Linked DNA regions of Drosophila melanogaster. The protein of the gene in region 2 purifies or fractionates together with the protein of the main gene of each other region. This does not show direct contact. Each region holds a gene or a part of one and is shown on either strand. Other genes may lie near its edges.

Region 1 (3,756 bases), on a different chromosome or scaffold from region 2:
GTCCACAATATATACCTCCGTAGAGCTTAGGAGTGCCTAAACTATTTTTATCAGTATCAATGCAATTTCACCAATAAACCGATGTTTAAAAATTAAATTTCAAAATAGACGTCGAGAATCTTTAATTTAAAAATTGAAAAATAAAGTTTTTTTAAAAATGCAATTGTTTTACAAGATTACAAAAATTAATAAAAAAAAAAAAAGTTAATGCATTAAAAGCATCTTTAACCAAATTATTTTTTCCGAGTAGATAAAATCCATTTAAAAATTAACACGCTAAATTGTTTATTCCCCCATTTACAGTAATTTTCCAGTTCGCGAAACAGACAACTGGAAAGATTCCCCCATTTTTTTAAGCCCTGTGTTACCCTTTTTAACGATACTTTAATTAACTTCACTCGACTTCAAGTTCTTCACTTTTCGTGCTTGAATCTCACCAACCCTCGGGTAATCCACGGAAAAAAATTGAGCAAATGACATTAACTTTATATTTAATATTTTAAAAGAAAAATATCTTAGTGGAAAATACGAGAAAATGTATAAAAAAAAACTATAAAAAGCTATAAACTGCTGATACAATTTTCAGTTTATTATCCAAATTTTTAAAACCACATTAATTTTTGTAAAAAATATATATATAATGATCCCAGTAAAATTTATTTAAACAAACAAAAAGGTGATTTTATTTAAAAAGTTTTCTTATAATGATGGTTTTTAAATCAAATTCGTGTCAAAACTGTATTTCATTCCGTGCTCCTACTTCCCATTAAAGATGGTAAGTGCAGTAAAATAAAGCTCACCCAACTAGACAAAATGGAAAAGGAGGTTTTTGGGGGGTAAAAGGTGAGCGAGAGGAAGTCGTGCAGCGGGGAGAATTGAGAATTTACCTTTCATGCAGCTGACGTCGTTGTTTTTCCTTTTGTAGTTCTGTGTGTTGCGCATGCGCCCGGTTCCATGAATTCCAAGACGAAGATCGCGGAAGAAGAAGAAGCGCTGGAAGCTGTCCGTCTCTCTCTTTCTCCGTCTCTTCCCCTCTCGCTTTTTATGTATACAAAAACCAGTTGGAAGCGAAAGCAAAAGTTCTATTATTATGTCTTGGTCTTCTTGCTGTTTCTGTTTTTGTAGCCGTAGCTGGTCTCCCTCTCTCTCGCTGTCTCTGTCTCGCTCTCAGTGTGGGAATTCGCATGTGTGGAGAACGGAACGCGAATTTATAATTCGCAAAACAAAGCTTGTGTGTGATTCATTTCGCCGATCGTAGTCGCTGTTGCCGTTGTTGTTGTTGTTGCTATTTCTCCCGATCGCATCTCTCGGCGTCTCGTTCTCTTTTGCTCTCGCTCTCCGAAAGCTCTTTCAGCATATTTCAGAACACGCACACACACGCGACGCCAAACGCATTTGGCAATTTATTTATATTTTTTTTTATTTATTTCTTTTATTTATTTTGCATTTATTGCCATTTACTCTTCCTCTATTCTCGGCGATTTCCTCTTCCCGATTTCGAACGCACACCAAGAACTTCTTGCACAATCGTCGCACGCGCGCAACAAGCGAAAGCTCTCAGAAACAACAACTATAAATTGCAATTCCTGCTACGCACACACTGACACGCTCGCACCGCACATACATATATACACACATGTACTGGGGTTCCACTGGGCACTCTGTGTTGTTGTTTTTCCGCTTGGCTTTTGCTAATTTTGCCTTGTTTTTGCTTCTGCTCCAATTCTATGACACAACGCTATCTTCCCACTTTGTGTTAATTTTTATACACAATTGCACACCAAAATTGGGGTTTGGTAAACGGATAGGCAATGACGGGGGCGCGGGCGACGATTGGAAACCAGAACACACTCCCGTTATGGACGCATCGGAAATATTAAATATATACGTATGTACACACACATAATTAACGCCAGAGCTGTTCTTCTTTTCGCTTTTGTTTACTTTCACTCTTACTTTCTTGGCTATCGCTCACTTTCAGCTATTGTTTATTCGCTGGCTTCACTTTTTCGGGAAAAACTATTCCGCACGCAAAAATTAGGTCTCGAGCGAAATTAGGTCGAACTCGAACGGGAACACAACACACAGTAAAAGTTTGTTGGCGTAGGTAGAAGAAGACCGAAAGCCCTCGCGCATACACGCACACACACATGCGCGGTCGGGATAGTGTTGGATCACCGGAGCGAAGAGCGGGGCCAAGGACAGAGAGGCAGCATTCTTGGCCTTTAAAAATCGTTTGAAGAACAAGGACGGCAATCATATGAAAACCGGAAAGCTTTCAGCTGAAAGCACTCACATGCACGCACACCCGCGTTTAGCGCACCGCTCGTGCGGCGAGCTTTTGAGAGCGACATCTGCCGGAACCTATCGCCAAGTTATCGATAGATCGTAAATTCAAAACTGTGGCGGTTTGTCAATGAAATATTACATAAATTTTAATAAGCAATAAAAAATACAATGAGATTATCTAGTTCAAATAATTGCAAATTTAAAAGGAAAAGAAGAAGACGAATTTAAATATTCACAAGATATAATTATACTTTTTCAAAAGAATGGGCCCTCTAAGTATATTTAAGTACTTATCTAAGACCTTACCTGTTCAGTCATCTATTATTATATATAAATAACCTTTTAAACCAATTTTGAAGAATCGTTTAATAAAAGCTTGGATCGATATTTGTTTTCAAATGCCAGGAGATTGTTAAAATTTTGAAGTGAAACCGCACTTTTAAATTGTCAAAATTTCACTTTGCATTTATTTTGTTTTTCATTATTAGTTTTTTTTTTTTTGTTAAATTTCTTCAGTTTTTTGTGGTTTCCTTTTATAGTTGCACAAAACTTACACACGTACATTACATAGAAAATTACAAACCTATCTGAAAATTGATTTACATTGTAGTTGGATCATATTGTGTATACATATACTTTATATATTATGTTAATAATTTCATTTAAAAATACATAATACATAAATACGCCTTTGTTGCTTCTTTAATATTATTACAATAATTATTATTTAGTTTATACTTTAGCTAGATTGTTTTGTTTTTTTAAAAACCATAGATTACACTTCATCCCTAGATTTATCTGTAAGTATATATCAATTTATTAGCTGATTGGCTGGCATACATTTTCCGTTCGTTTCCTCGTTTCTAACTGCCTTGCATTGTTTTCTTCTACTTTTATTGCATAATTGCAGCCAATCCCTAAAGATTCCAGATTTTCTCAATATTCTCGCTCTAAAATTTCCATTCATTTCCTTTTTCTTCGTTTTGAGTGTGTATAGCACCTTTGTATCACTTTGCATTAGCTCTAAATTTAATTTCCTTTATAAAATCCTTTATCTTCCAAAGACAAAGACGTGTGAGTAAAAACTAGTTACTAGCTAAAATATACATATGTATAGTATATAAATCTACTATTATATTCGTACTAATAGTTTTTCCATATTTGTTTGCACTTTACACTCTATGTTCAGTTAGTACTATGCTCATCCATTCATCATTATCTAATTTATATCTTTCTGGATCTTGCCCCGTCCAATCGCTAAAGATATCTCGGTTAAAATTTCATTAAAATGGTCTTAACGCCCAACAAGTTCCGTACACTGTCGTTGTATTTGATGAGCACAACCTTCGACGAACTGAACATGTTCAGCTTTTCACCGGCGCACAACAGCTGCAGGCAGGTGGCTTTCTCCAGGAAATCATCTATCTTGAACTCCCGTAGCAGGTGCTTCTGACTGCTGGCCAAGGC
Region 2 (3,756 bases):
TCAAATGCGATTTTCCGATTTGCCTTTGATATTGGCGGCATGACGAGCGGTTTGTCGCACGATCTGGTTAACGGGAAGTGACAGTGGATCATTAACATGTAAAGGTAATGGTTCTTGGTTTTTAGCTCCTCGTATACTCGTAATGGAACTATGCATTTAATCATTGGGGAACAAAATTGCAAGTTCTATGTACATTTCTCCTCATTTCTAACACCGCCCAGGTAATAAAGGTCTTTCTTGTACGGTTTTTCTTGTGTATTTTGTGTTGTAAACATAAATCGTATAATTCAACTCTCAGATATAACCATGATCGTATAATTTTGTGTATAAATCGTATGTATCTGGTAACCACGATCAGCTTATAAAACTGTTAAAGTATCAGCTTTAGTATAACTTAGACGTAAATCCGGGCATCTCTTAAATTTCTTAATCGCTTAGCATATGAGGAAGGATCACTTAGGGATTATTTACACATGTGCCGAATATCATAACCAGTCACGTAGCTGGAAGTGTAAATACGCGTTAAAAAATAAATATCTCAATATTTGCATATATCGTCGAGGTCCAAAGATTGGGTTTGGTGAGTGCGCCACATTGCGCCAGGTACGGCTGAGGTAGTTCTGTCCACGATTGGCTAGGCAGTTTTTGCTGGCGTTAAGTTTCGTTTCGTTGGATTCGGTTCGGTAATGCTTGTTTAAAGCGTGCAAGCGCTTTACAGATCGCTGGAATGCAGGGTCGCGTGGCAAGGGGAAAGCTCGCCAGGATTTCCCTCTCAGTAGCCATAAAGGTATGAGTACATGGGCACGAAGATGGACGGGCCCAGCTGGCGCTCCTGCGGCATGTGCGTCTTCATGTGCTTCTTTAAGTGGTCGCGTCGGCCAAACTTCTTTCCGCAGGCACTGCAAGGATACGGCCGCAGTCCGGTGTGGATTCGCTTGTGACGCGTCAGTTCCTCATTGCGGGTGAAGGTCTTGCCGCATGTGTTCACGTCGCACTTAAATGGGCGTTCGCCTGCAGAACAGAATGGAGATAAGTGAGTGGGACTCTCGGGGTCAGATGTGTTCTGGTCGACTTACCGGTGTGGATGCGGATGTGGCCCTTCAGCTGGCCGTTGTTGGAGAAGGCCACGTCGCAGTTGGGGCACTTGAACTTCTTCGGCCGCTGCTTGCGGCTGTTGAGCGCCTTTAACTGTGCGTCCTCGGCCATCACGCGGGCGTACTCTTGCTCCATCAGGCCCATAGTGAACGGGTCCATGCCGAAGCCCGGGACGGCAGTGGGCGTGGAGGCAGCAGCGGCTGCTGCGGCGGCGGCAGCGTAGTAGAGATCGCTGGCGGCCGACAGGAATGGAGCGTGCTGGTTTGGCGGAGCCAAGGATGCGGTGGCGGCGGCGTGCGTGTCCAACGGCGACGACTGCGGGTGTGAAAAGACGGGGTGCGGGGCGGCGTCCAGCAGCGGGGTGGAAGTGCGGGTGTAGCTGCTGTGGTTCAGGGCCTCCTCGTAGCAGGACTTGCTGCTGTTGCTGCTGCTTGACGCAGAGGAGGATGCGGAGGAGAAGTCTCCGTCGCAGTCGTGGCCGAAACTGCTGCTGGCCAGCTCCGTCTTGATGGTAATCGCCTCCGGCTCCTGCTTCACTGTCCTGGGTGCCGCCGAGGTCGCCGCCTGGCGCTGAGTATCCCAGGGTCGGAAAAGTCGCGAGTAGGTTTGCGGGGGATGCAGGTTAATCGTCGACATTTTGCAGTAGTTTTAATGGAAGGTCTAAATTGCTCTCTCGCGACACTAAATCACTTGGATGGAACACTTGTGATTATGATTTTGGACTTGATTTGGTTGTGCGGAGCTGTGTGTGTGCTGCGAGATCTCGACTCGAACTGAGCTCTCCTGCCCCGACGCCTCTCAATTTAAACCCAGGACTCTGGCTACCTACACTTCGTATACCCAGGCAGTCATTCGTCCTGCGTTCACACACACGCGCACACACATACACACTCACCCGCACACGCACACGCACACTGAGGGTCGCTTCATTCATCGATTATTTGTCTGTCTGAGGATGTGCGAGCGAGAGGGATGCTTCGGGGTGGGTTTCGCTTTCAGAAACGGGCACGGATTCGGTTCGGTTCGGTTTCGAGGGCACAACAATGGCGGCCCGCTCGCACACACACTCGCAGCTGAAGTATATAAGGCGCTGGTGTGTGCGTGTAGTCCTGCGTAGTTTTCCCGGTCCGGAAAATCGAACTCCCGACCGAGTGGCGGGCAGCTTTCCTAACTTGCGCTTTCTACTCTTTCCACTCCGTACTACATATACTGGGCCCAGGCGATCCCAGCAGCGCGGTGCCTCCGATTTGGGCGCAACTTTAGCAGAGCATTTGCGTTTCACGGTTATGTTATGAATTGTACTCACACCCACCCACCGACCATGATTCCCGGGTGGTTGGCTTTGGGCTTGGCTTGGCCCACTCTCCCAATCCCAATCCCACTCCCAATCTTATACCCATTCCCAGTCACAGTTTCCTCCTCCTTCCCTCCGTCCAGACACAGATACTTCTCCAAATGTATAATTCGGTTATCTGCGGTTCGGGTTTCCTGTGCCCGATGTGGCAGCAATTTATTATTAAATTAAGTGCTTGTTCGAGGGTGGCTCCGCGACATCACGAATATGCAAAGTGCGGGCCAAGCAGCTGGGCAGGATTTGCAGAGATTGCCAGGCTTGAGCGTGTTGTTCAGTTGGTACAGTTCGCCTAAACTTTATCTTTATCTCTGGGGGTGCTTGAGAAAAACTTTACTGGCTCGTGGAGGCGTTTGCCCTAACGCGATTCTGGCTGCAGACTACGAGAACAGATACAACATACTTTGGCTGAATGTGCGTTGCTACACCTAATGTTTTAATTTAGAAGGCGATATTGGCTTTAAGAGTTCGTGTTTAAGTTCACAAGTTTTTCGCATGCATTGGTAGCCGCTACAAATTGCTGTTGCGTTTACTTTCCACTCCAATTTTCTGTATGAATTTGAGTTTAAAGGGAAAATGGTACTTAATATTAATACATACCCTCTAAGGATTCCCACGATAGGATTAGTAGTGTTCTGAGTTCAATCTTATTTTCTAGTCAACAAGCATTGGAAGTAAGCCTTCTCTAAATTATGAATATATGCCTCCTATTTTTGCAGCCAAATGTATTATATACCTCTATATTCTTCGACAGATACCTGAAATAATTTCGAAATCAAATTCTAATTCTAATCAAGAGACGACGGATACAGCATATAATCATAAAAATGTTTGCTGCTAGAATTAAAAGAAAGATTTGCGGAATTGAACGAAATATTTTCGTTTTGTTGTTTTTTAAAAGAGTATAAAACTGCTGTCATCGGACCAAAGCGATAATAACTTCCTAAAAGATATCTGCTTTCTAGGGAAGGTGCATTCCGCAGGCCTAGCGCCTTATGCCCCTGTCCTGCCATTTAGAACAAAAGGGAAATCATTGGGATTACGTCCAACTGCATTGTTCGACCAATGCTAATGAGTGCAGCGGCATGGCTGGGTTGTTGTGGGTTTGTTAGTACCTATGTATATGTAGAACCGTCCATAAAACGCGGTCCGCGGAGAACATTTCATTCACGACTGAGCTCATTTAGTAAATTCATTCATAAACTGGGATTGCCGTGAGCAGGGACGATCCTGTGATCTGGATAGATCCCTTGGTGGTCGGGTGGCAGGTAGATAGCCGATTGGGCTGGCTTGAGGGTGGTGATACTGTA

What was found.
Region 1: the proteins of hkb (region 2) and ftz-f1 purify together in Drosophila melanogaster (affinity purification with western blotting, with the first as the bait; one study listed by BioGRID). This does not show direct contact.

Annotation. Positions count from the first base shown.
Region 1 is NT_037436.4:18,799,221-18,802,976, forward strand, and holds the start of ftz-f1 (ftz transcription factor 1), read right to left. Parts: upstream 2,090-3,756; 5' UTR 888-2,089; intron 1-887. Other genes in the region: CG14073 (uncharacterized protein), read right to left, coding at 3,562-3,756. UniProt on the Drosophila melanogaster protein: Acts as a cofactor to fushi tarazu (ftz). Facilitates the binding of ftz to DNA. Binds the sequence element 5'-YCYYGGYCR-3' in the zebra element of ftz. Probably functions as a nuclear receptor for a yet unknown ligand.
Region 2 is NT_033777.3:4,344,773-4,348,528, forward strand, and holds hkb (huckebein), read right to left. Parts: upstream 1,875-3,756; 5' UTR 1,732-1,874; coding exon 1,077-1,731; intron 1,012-1,076; coding exon 773-1,011; 3' UTR 243-772; downstream 1-242.